Saccharomyces cerevisiae S288C: one gene and its partner. Changing the gene in region 1 together with any one later gene gives a genetic interaction. Each region holds a gene or a part of one and is shown on either strand. Other genes may lie near its edges.

What was found.
Region 2: mutations in RAX1 (region 1) and GIC2 are lethal when combined (synthetic lethality), as found in Saccharomyces cerevisiae (one study listed by BioGRID).

What each region holds. Positions count from the first base shown.
Region 1 is NC_001147.6:879,395-885,326, reverse strand, and holds RAX1 (Rax1p), read right to left. Parts: upstream 4,363-5,932; coding exon 3,055-4,362; downstream 1-3,054. Other genes in the region: ISW2 (DNA translocase), read right to left, coding at 1-813; carbamoyl-phosphate synthase (glutamine-hydrolyzing) CPA1, read right to left, coding at 1,193-2,428; YOR302W (uncharacterized protein), read right to left, coding at 2,485-2,562; BUD7 (exomer complex subunit), read right to left, coding at 4,652-5,932. UniProt on the Saccharomyces cerevisiae protein: Required for the establishment of the bipolar budding pattern. Involved in selecting bud sites at both the distal and proximal poles of daughter cells as well as near previously used division sites on mother cells.
Region 2 is NC_001136.10:1,077,272-1,081,965, reverse strand, and holds GIC2 (Gic2p), read left to right. Parts: upstream 1-1,766; coding exon 1,767-2,918; downstream 2,919-4,694. Other genes in the region: SUM1 (Sum1p), read left to right, coding at 1-838; SRB7 (Srb7p), read left to right, coding at 3,517-3,939; PMT7 (putative dolichyl-phosphate-mannose--protein mannosyltransferase), read right to left, coding at 4,113-4,694. UniProt on the Saccharomyces cerevisiae protein: Required for cell size and shape control, bud site selection, bud emergence, actin cytoskeletal organization, mitotic spindle orientation/positioning, and mating projection formation in response to mating pheromone.

The DNA of each region.
Region 1 (5,932 bases):
TCTTGTGTCTTTATCACCATGTAACACAAGGACATTGACGTTTGGAGTCCATTTAAGAAACTCTCGTCTCCAATTATCTAGTGTTGACTTCGGTACTATTATTAGAAAGGGTCCCTCGATTTGTTTGACGTATCTCAAATAACCTAGGAATGAAATTGTTTGTAAGGTTTTACCCAGCCCCATTTCATCGGCCAAGATACCAGATAGTTTGTTTTCGTGCAACGATATTAACCAGTTTAAGCCTTGAACTTGATAGTCTCTTAATTTTCCTGACTTGACGAAGGAGGGAGATTCTGAGACGAATATGTCTTCCTGATATGTATCTACAATCTCTTCTTCCTCATCAGCCATTAATTCAGCATCTTCCTCCTTTTCTGTTTTTCTATGGTGACGTGATGACGAACTGACGGTGCTGTGTGATTTGGAAAGTTTGTTTGCATCAGAATCTAACTGTTTTAAGAGTTTTTGAATATTTTTATCATGTTTTGCCTTAATTCCAATAAAATGACGGAAAAGGTCTGTGACGCCTAATAAATATTTGAATCTTTTGTACGTATCGGACTTGTCCTTTTGCTTGGCGTATTTTGGATCTACATCAAGTACGAATTTTTTCTTTCTTTGAGCCCAATATTCTGGTGGTCTATCTTCTACTGTATATATTTCTTTATCTGATAGCTCTTCACTTTGTCCGATATTATCATCATCACTACTGCCATTTGACTTTGAGTCGAGAGTATCGACTAAAACTTCTGAAGGTGACTCGCTTTTGCTATTCTTGGTATCACTTCGTTGCTCCTCTTGCTGGGTCGTCATGATCTGATTGTAAGTTTTCCTTTTGTTACGACTTAAACCAACAAGACGGGTATTATTGGAAAGTAAATAAAACAAACCACAAAGAAAGAAAACCGTTTGCACAAACTCCTTGAGTTATGCAAATATACTTATCAAAATTTAACTGAAGCTGAAAATTTTTGAGTCTGCTTTATTTGATTTTTTTTTTAGGATGGCAGGATGAAATTAGAGCCATTGTACGTACGTTACGTTTTTTTGTTCATTTAATTACAAGAAGCGCCCGTTAATTATGACAACTGCGAGTAGATACTAAGCAACGACGAGTAGCGCAAAATACCATGAACTGAATTGAATCGTATTTAGATGTACGTATGTGTTACGTAATGTATAAATTTTGTTTTTAGAACAACACTCTTTCCTTGGCCAACTTAGTAACATTTATACTCTGCAATCTCGATTTATCGGTACTGTATGTTACTTTTAGTGAGATTGAACTTTTTGCCTGAGATTGTAATTGGTATTTTTCTATATTATCGAAGAATTTGTCAAAAAGAATAGCTGTGTCTAAGGGACCACCTTTTGCCTCTGGGTGAAATTGGGTAGAAAATATGGGTCTTTGAAGGTGTATCATGCCTTCGTTTGATTTGTCGTTTAAATTAACAAAATAAGGTTTCCATTGGTCCTTTGGTAGGGTCTCAGGATCAACTGCATAGCCATGATTTTGAGATGTAATGTGGCACTGGCCGGTAGTCAAATCCATGGCAGGGATGTTGTGAGCCCTATTACCATATTTCAATTTGTGAGTAGAGGCACCGGAGGCCAGAGCCAAGAGTTGATGGCCTAGACAAATCCCAAAAATAGGGATACAGTCATAAACAGGGTTATTTAGTAATTCCCTGACGTTGGAAATTGTAGCTTGGCATAGTTCTGGGTTGCCTGGTCCATTGGATAAGAAAATACCGTCGAATTCAGAAGCAACATCTTGAATTCTGTAATCATAGGGGAAAACAGTTACATTGGCACCTCTTTTGACTAGGCATCTGATAATGTTTTCTTTAACACCACAGTCAATAAGAGCCACATTTGCCTTAGCCTTCCCAGGTAAGGCAGAGACGTGGAAAGGCTTTTTTGTGGTGACTTGAGCAACCAAGTTAGTTTTCATGGGATTCACGTAGGGGACAGGGTCATGATCAGCCAACGTAATACGGCCCAAAGAAGAACCTTGTTCCCTCAAGTATTGCACTAGTTCACGGGTGTCTACGCCAGTAATAGCAGCAACACCTTCTCTCTGACACCATTGTGCCAGAGATTCAACAGCGGTCCAATGCGAATATTGATAAGCATATTCAGCGACAACGATGCCGACCACATGTATATGCGGAGATTCAAAATACTTCAGTAAATTGTATTCATCGCGGGCTTCGCCGGATGGGACACCGTAGTTACCAATCAAGGGTTGCGTGAAGACTAATATCTGACCACGGTAGGAAGGATCAGTCATGGACTCTGGGTAACCAACCAGAGAAGTAGTGAAAACTGTTTCACCAGCAACAGATTTGTTTGCACCAAAAGATATACCTTCAAAGGAAGGACCATTTTGGATACAGAAAGTAGCTTTTGTTGCAGCGGAGGACATTTGAAATATTTTTAGGAGTGGTTTGTGATAGAATTTCTGATTATTAAGCAATGAAATTAGTGGGAGCTAGTTTTCCAGATGTGGTCAGATATGTAGTCTTGGCAGGTGTATTGAGAGTTCGATAAGCTAAACATATAATGTTTTTTTTATTTCAAATCTGCAAAAAGGGTATGTAGAAGAGTCGATTACCTTGTATTCTTTGCAGTATTTAAACAATTAGATGTTCGAGTGTATCTATGTGTTATAGTTCTGAAGAAAAAAAAAAAAAAAAAAAAGAAAAAGAAACGACGAGTCAAGAAAAGAAAAGAAAAAGGAGGGGCATGAAAAAAGAAATTGACCGAATAATCTAATGAACGTTGGATAGTTAAGTGTCTTACGAGAGAGCCTTATATATCATGTCATCGCCTTTTTTTTCCGCGAGAGGTGATAAGTGAAATCGCAACTATTTACTCATCATGAGGTAATGCGATGCGATGATGAGTCAAACACCCTTCCACGGGAAGCGCCAGCCGGCGCCCTCGGTAAAGCCTGCACTTAACGGCCCCTCGCTGTTTCTTGTACTTAGCGTCACGCGCTATGGAAATATGCGGTGCACAGGTGTTTTTATAGGGGGGTGATGGATTACATCATACACGACGGCCGGGAACACAGCTGAAAATAACTGTGAATGCGGCAGTGGCACCCACTACGAGAAGCAGACACCACAGTCCACGCTTACGTAGAAGCTGCCGAGTAAATGGGTGCTCTATGCGGGTAAGACGGCGCCTACCGCCGAACACCGCAAGTATCATTGGCACGTGATCGGTATCACTAGAAGCATCTCCTTCGTCATTGCCAGCGTTTTTGTGTCTGTGGAGAAGTCTCTGTGTGACGCCAAACCAGGAATACACAATGTCCACTTGATACATGCCACACACAATGCAGTAGCATCCCAGTGTAAATGGCACGACCGTAACGACACGGATTGCGCGACTATACGCCAGGAAGATTAGAACATATCCGATCCAAAAGCCGATGCCTAGCCAGAGCAAACCAAAGCCAATACGACTGATTGACGTGTGATTGGAGAATGGCGAGCGAGAAATGTGCGTCTGGCCTCGAGAGCGATTGCTTTTTTCGTTGGTGACGCCCACTGAGTGGAATCTCCAATCAGATATTTCATCGTGGATGTTGTGTAGTGCGACGCGGCTTAGAAATTTTGGGAAACAATCCATTTCTAGGAATTGGTAAGTTAGGTTTTTTAGGTCGTCAAAAATCTCAATGTCGTACTTTCGCTCGATTTGTACGCTTTCTATTATGCGGTTCCGCGTTTCCATGGGGATGTTGCTCAGGTACCGTTCGCTTTGTTCGGGCGATACTAAATAGGTGTTGCAGAGACCAACTGCGCTGTGCAGCAGTTGTTTTGTAGTTATCTGCGGTTTTCCGTCTTGTTGGGAGCGCCTTTTCATTATCTCGTCGACGATCAGCGCTACGTCTTCGTTTCTCAGGGCTTCTTGACCGATACCCGATTGGTGCTTCCAATCACCCAGCAATTCGTTTAATTTTGGTGAAAAGGGCACGTCTGGGCCGCTATTTTCTAAGAGTTTATCAGGTGCTTCCGGGTCTAGGTGCCCTTCTTCTATCAGTGCGTTCAGCAAGTCAAATGTAGCCGTAGATGTACTTCCATTCTGCTGTTGTTCTTGTGGAAAGTTGATTAATGATTTTCTTACCAACTCTATGTAGTTTTTGCAAAGTCGTGTATGTGTCATAAGGTCAACCCAAAAGTCCAGATAGTTGATGGCATATGGGAATTGTGAAAGAAATGTATAAAAAGTCCAGAGATCAACTGGCTGCGATGTCCTCTGTATTAACACTTCATACAATGTTGGCAATCGTTCACGCTGGATCATCTCGAAATTTTGCATACTGCTCACTTTGCTGAGCTCTTCCTTCATGATGAATGGGACGCTCTTGAACTTTCTTTTTGGCAGAAATTGTTAGAGGTCGTTGTGCACAATGAATTTCCCGTATGTGTTTTATTGATATTTTCGTTTTGCCCGCATTCTCGAAACACGAATATTTTTCCTCGAATGGCGGCGGGCGGCGAAGTTACATAACCAGCATTGCTCTGTATTAATGTATGCTGGGTTTTCTTTAAAGTGACCCAAGAGTTTGACACAACGTTGAAGCGTATCGCCAATTTTTTTTGGATTATATATACGTATTAATGTCTTTTTATCGTATTTATGCATCGTAGCATCCAATGGTGCAAGTAGTGAAGAAATTGAGCAAATTCTCCTGCACCAAGTTGAGAACAGTTTCTGGATATCTTGACGAGATTTCATTCGAAACTTTGGTCAGACTCATATCTTGAATAACCACACTTAAACAATCAAGTAAACTTATGGAAAATTCCGTATACCAACGGTGGTTCCAGCAGCATATCTTCACGCAAAGGTCGATAATGCTATTGTCTAGCTCTCTTATGCGTGAGCTTACTATTTCAGGGACCATGTCATGCGAATTAGGTGAGTTTATAAAATTTTTGACCCGTTGGCGTTCGTTTATACAATATTCCAGCAGTTTCCTCGCGCACCTTGATGAAAATCTCTGCGATAAACCGTTCTGGAAGGCCTTGGCGGCCTCAGGGAAATGGCCCAGTCGACGTGCACAAAGGCCAAATAACTCCCATTCGAAAGTCAACTTATTGTGGTTGTTATTCTGTGCATCCATGTACAGTTGTTCGGTTTGCCATAATGTATACATCTTCAGGTCTTCATATAAAAGCATGAAGAGGTTGTCTAACCATCGTTCACACAGCCGTTTAGCCCTCAGAGGCTGTTCTTCTTGTTTGTTAACGTCCTTTGGTAACGAAGATGATGATTTTTGGTACTCTTCTTCCATAACGAAAATGTTTGATCTGTACTTTAACAGATTTTCCCAGCCGGTGATCTGCACAATTTCTGTCAATAATCGGTATGCCAATTGGAAAGTAGATTTCAAGTTCGACGCAGCTAAATTGACCAGCATTGGATCCGCAGAGCGGTGTTCATTCTGAACGTCTTGTGGATTCAACGACGTCACTTCATCCAGTACAACGTCAATTGGCAATGGCAAATGAAGACTATTATTCGAAGGCAACGGAGCTACTCTTTTCAGTACGTATTTTTCCTTTAATGGAGACATAGGGCATGAATTCAGTATCAGTAAGGCATTTTCAATATCATTTAGCTTTACATACACCTTGGATAAAAGATACCAAGGTCTAAATTCACTGGGAGAACAATTGACTGCCTCTTGCGCTATGTTTTGCGCCAAGCTGTAATCCTGCCTTTTGTCTATCAAAAATTGCGCTTGTAAGCACAGTAATTCAGATTTATAATCCATGCGGTTATTAGTGTTGTTTATTATTTTATCCTGCGAAAGCATATCGTATGTGAGCTTTATTGCGTCTAATTCTTGATCACACACCAAAAAGATCTTGATTAGTATTATGATCGCCTCAGGGTTGTCGGTAGCCAGATT
Region 2 (4,694 bases), on another chromosome or scaffold:
ATCTATCCATAACGATACTGAGTCTGCTAACGATAGTAGCAATGGCAACGGAAACCTCGGTTTGGGTACAGAGTCACGCAATACATTGTTAACGGCAACTCCCATTGAATTAATCTGCCGGGAAGGCTTCTTCTACCGGAGAGATATTCCGGACGTTCCCATTACCACAGGAGCGTACCTGGAATTTAAATTCAAGGCGAAAGAAGAGGAATTGATCAACTCTAGCATCAATGAGGAGGATTATGCTGCTAAATCAAAGCATGAAAAAATGAATGCGCATTTCTTCAAGCCTGATATTCAAGAAGAGACGGAACTTGCCTTTGAAATTTTGAGCAAGACAACGCTGACAGAGAAATACGTTAACAGTTTGGAGTACTTCTTGATGGAATTCAGGTGGGAGAATAAACTAGTTGGTCTAGGCTTAAAACTTCGGGAATCCAAAAGAACCTGGCAAAGGAGAAAGGCGTTATTTGCCCTTTTCGAATTTTGGAGAGACCAATCAAGAGACAAAAGAAGATTCCACAACTACACCATCCTGCATGCGGTGAAAGAGATGGAAAACTACAGAATATTTATTAATCGATCCGTTTCATGGTTCTACAACCATATTACCCTGCTAAAAATGATCCTCTACGACCTCTGCGACAATGTGACCACTCAATGGAGAGAGTGGATGTTTCCCCATAACGAAACACTGCCGGCATTGGGTCAGGACGGCATTAACGAAGACAATCTGAATGAAACCATCGACAACATGTTAATTTTTGACTTCCTTGATGACGGTTCAGAAAACAACCAGGTCAAATATTCCAGAATCATACCGCCAGATATCCGTTAAGCTGGTCCGTACGTTGGGGCAGTTTCGAGAATAGATAAAAAAATGAAAAATAAAAAAAAATAAAAAAAACACAAAATAATGGACCGTTACTATGCCCAACCAAGTAACCTCCCAACTTATTTGGAACATTACATATTTAGCGCTTAACATTACATACATATTTAGCGCTTAACATTACATACACCTTTATCGACGAATTTGTAACTATTTCTTACTCTTGCGCTGAGGAACGCCCCAGTCGTACAAAAGCACCTCTGCATACTAAGAAACTTAAACTATCGCCATTGTCTCAAAATAGCAAAAAACGCAAAAAGCATACCGCTGGGCGCTTATCTATATTAACCTACACGAGAAAAGAAACATGATTGACTGCGTCAGATTCAAAAACCTGCAAAGTTTGTTTTTATAATTTTGGCGTTCAGCAAGCGCGCGGCTCCGCTCCATTAATATTCCAGAAAAAGAAATTCCTTCTTTGGGTGTTGTGTATTGCTACTTTGGGCAGGCGCGACCGGGCCAAAAGAATGCGGCACCCGGCAAAGACGCGTTCTGGCCCCTGAAGACTTAAGCACTGGAATGGCTCCGAGGATTGGTCACCCAGAAACAGGTGCAGACCAACCATTTCGAGATCTAGATGTTGCCTATTTCTCGAGGAAACGCTGCCGTTATCGCCATGTTTGGTGGAACAATTGTGAAACGTGATCAATTCGTGTTTGCAAGCTAGTGATCATTCGCATCCGAAAAAGAAACTGAAAATGTAAAACTCCAGTAAAACGAGACCTGTTGATGGATTGTTTCGTGTCTGGTATATATTATTGCTACTGCTCAAGAGAGCTTCTTTTTTTATGCTATCGAACTCGATCTTTCGCTCCGAAACACCTAACACTAACAAAAGGAATACCTGACAGAATACGCTATCAAAAGAACGAATATGACTAGTGCAAGTATTACCAATACTGGAAACGAAACCATGAACCTTCCACAGATGCGGTCGATTTGGCTGGATGAAGATGAAGAAGCTGAAAAACTCTACGGTCTGCAGGCCCAGCAATTCATGGGATCTGATGATGAAGAAAACCTAGGCATTACTTTCATCAACAGCGATAAACCTGTGCTGAGTAACAAGAAAAACATTGAGTTGCCTCCACTTTCACCAAATTCACATCCGTCTTGCCACCACAGGAGAAGTAATTCTAACTCTGCAAAGTCTAAAGAATCATCGTCATCATCGTCCAGCGCCAACAAGACAAATCACAAAAAGGTTTTCCTTAAGCTTAATTTGTTGAAGAAAAAGTTGCTTGGTGCCCAACCGGACATAAGAGGTAAAGGTATCTCCACACCATTTGATTTTCAACATATTTCACATGCTGACACTAGAAATGGATTCCAAGATGAGCAATTGCAGGAACCTTCATCGCTGTCCACAGAGATTAAGGACGACTATACCTCCTCCTCAAGCAAGCGGGATTCGAAATCACTAAATAAAGCTTTTGTCACTGAAAGGATCCCTGCTAATCGTGAAAGCAAACTCATTTCAAGATCGCACGAAAATAAGACATCAAGACTATCAGTCGCGCGTTCGATCTCAGTAACGTCCTCCAATTACTCTAAAAACACACAAGGAAACAATCATTCCATTAATGGGAGAGTCGTATCTACGTCAACTATGGCTACATCTATTTTTGAGTATTCCCCAAACGCATCTCCAAAACAATTTAAAAATAAGTCACACGCTCTGGGTCATAGATACACTAATTCCACGGATTCTAGTGAGTCTTCGCTGGATTTTTTGAAGAACTACAACTTCCCCACACTACTTGAAGATAAGCCTATTTTAGACTTCTTGCCTCGTTCTCAGAGGTCAAGCGCTTATCGTAGCCTTTTAGAGACCCCAAACTCAAATAAGGACTCAGCAAAAGCCTTCTTTCCTTCACGCCAAAGCCCTCTTCCCAAGAGAAGAAACTCTATAGCTACGCCTTCTCCACAATCTAAATTTTCCTACTCTGACTCCCCTGTAAACCATAGAAAATCTTTCGATGATGTTCTTTATTCTTTCAACCAGCTCGAGCCCCTGCAAACTTAAGCTAAGGACAGAAAATGAAAAAAAAAAAAAAAAAAAATTCAAAGAATCAGCTTATAAAACATATTCAAGGACCATCTGAAGTATCATTCATTCGTTTTTTACTCGTTAATCTCATTCATTCGTTTCCTCATTCTTTTTTCTTTGTTCTTTATTTCGGCTATTTTTTCACTATTAAAATAACTAGAGCTAACAATATTATTTCTTCTGCTTTAGTTACAAAACAAGGACATTCATTTAACTTGGCGTTATCCCATACATTCGTTTATTATATCTTCTTTTAAAACACAATTTCTTTTACAGTTAAACTTTTCTGATTTATTATATATTACTTAAGATTGTTCATATAACTAACATTTATATGCTTATATGCGTGAAGTGCGCTTTTGTAGAACATGTGGCTGTTTCTGTAGAAGCCTTGTCTTTCTCTGTAATCCTTTAAAGGCCAACCGTACGTGCTTAATTACAAGCTTTGTTCGCATTGCAAGAAAGTTAGAAAAAAAATCAATTCTGAAAGATAATTATAATTCAAACGGTAAACCATTGGTTAAAAGAGGGACATAACATTTCACTAGTTCAATACATTATATGCTCTTTAACAATGACAGATAGATTAACACAATTGCAGATATGTTTAGACCAAATGACGGAGCAATTCTGTGCTACTTTAAACTACATAGATAAGAACCATGGTTTTGAACGATTGACCGTAAATGAACCTCAGATGTCCGATAAGCATGCCACAGTAGTACCTCCTGAGGAATTTTCTAACACGATAGATGAGCTATCCACGGACATTATACTTAAAACAAGACAGATAAACAAGCTTATTGACTCGTTACCTGGTGTTGACGTTTCAGCTGAAGAGCAATTAAGGAAGATTGATATGTTGCAGAAAAAGCTAGTTGAAGTGGAAGACGAAAAAATTGAGGCCATCAAAAAGAAGGAGAAACTTTTAAGGCACGTTGATTCTTTAATTGAAGATTTTGTAGATGGCATTGCAAACTCAAAAAAGAGCACATAAACTTAAGTTTTACAAAGAAATTTGCGAACAGAGGACAGAAAATGTACTATAGTTATATGGCAGAGTTAAGCGTATGTATGTTATTCTTATAAATAATTGTGCTACTCTATTTGTACCGGAGAATTATTGAAGCAATGGGAGAAAAATCATAATGGAGAAAATCTTTCTACGAGTTACTTTGCAAGGCAATCTAACGATTCTAAAAGACACAATACACTAAAGAAAAAACTTTGGAAGTACAGTTTTTTCCCCAAGTTGAAGTGTGGACTCATTGTGAAGATGTAAAAATGTAAAAACCAACCGACAATGCACTCCCAGCCAAATTCATTGTAGACCTCCCATTTGATAGAAAAGGAAGGTTCAGCAGTTGTCCACGGATTCCAAGATATCATTCTCTTACATTGCACGCACATGAAAATGATCATCGAGAGTAAGGATCCATACCATGCAAAATTAAACCAAACTGGAGAGTCTGTGTCTAACGTAATTGGCCATTTTTCCACGGCGAACGCATCTTCAAAAGTGACCTTATTTTTACCGTATTTAATATAGTAATTGTACTTGTATTGTTTGAAAATATATTCTTTGAAAAGATAAAGAAATTGTGACCAAGATAAGGTATGATTGAATTCTGCTGAAGAACTTATTTTGCCGATATAATATTCTATCATTGGGACTTGGAAATCGACTGGTAGTTGTACTGAGTCTATTAGAAAAGTGGTTCTTGGTATTACTGGGTACTCCATACATAGGAC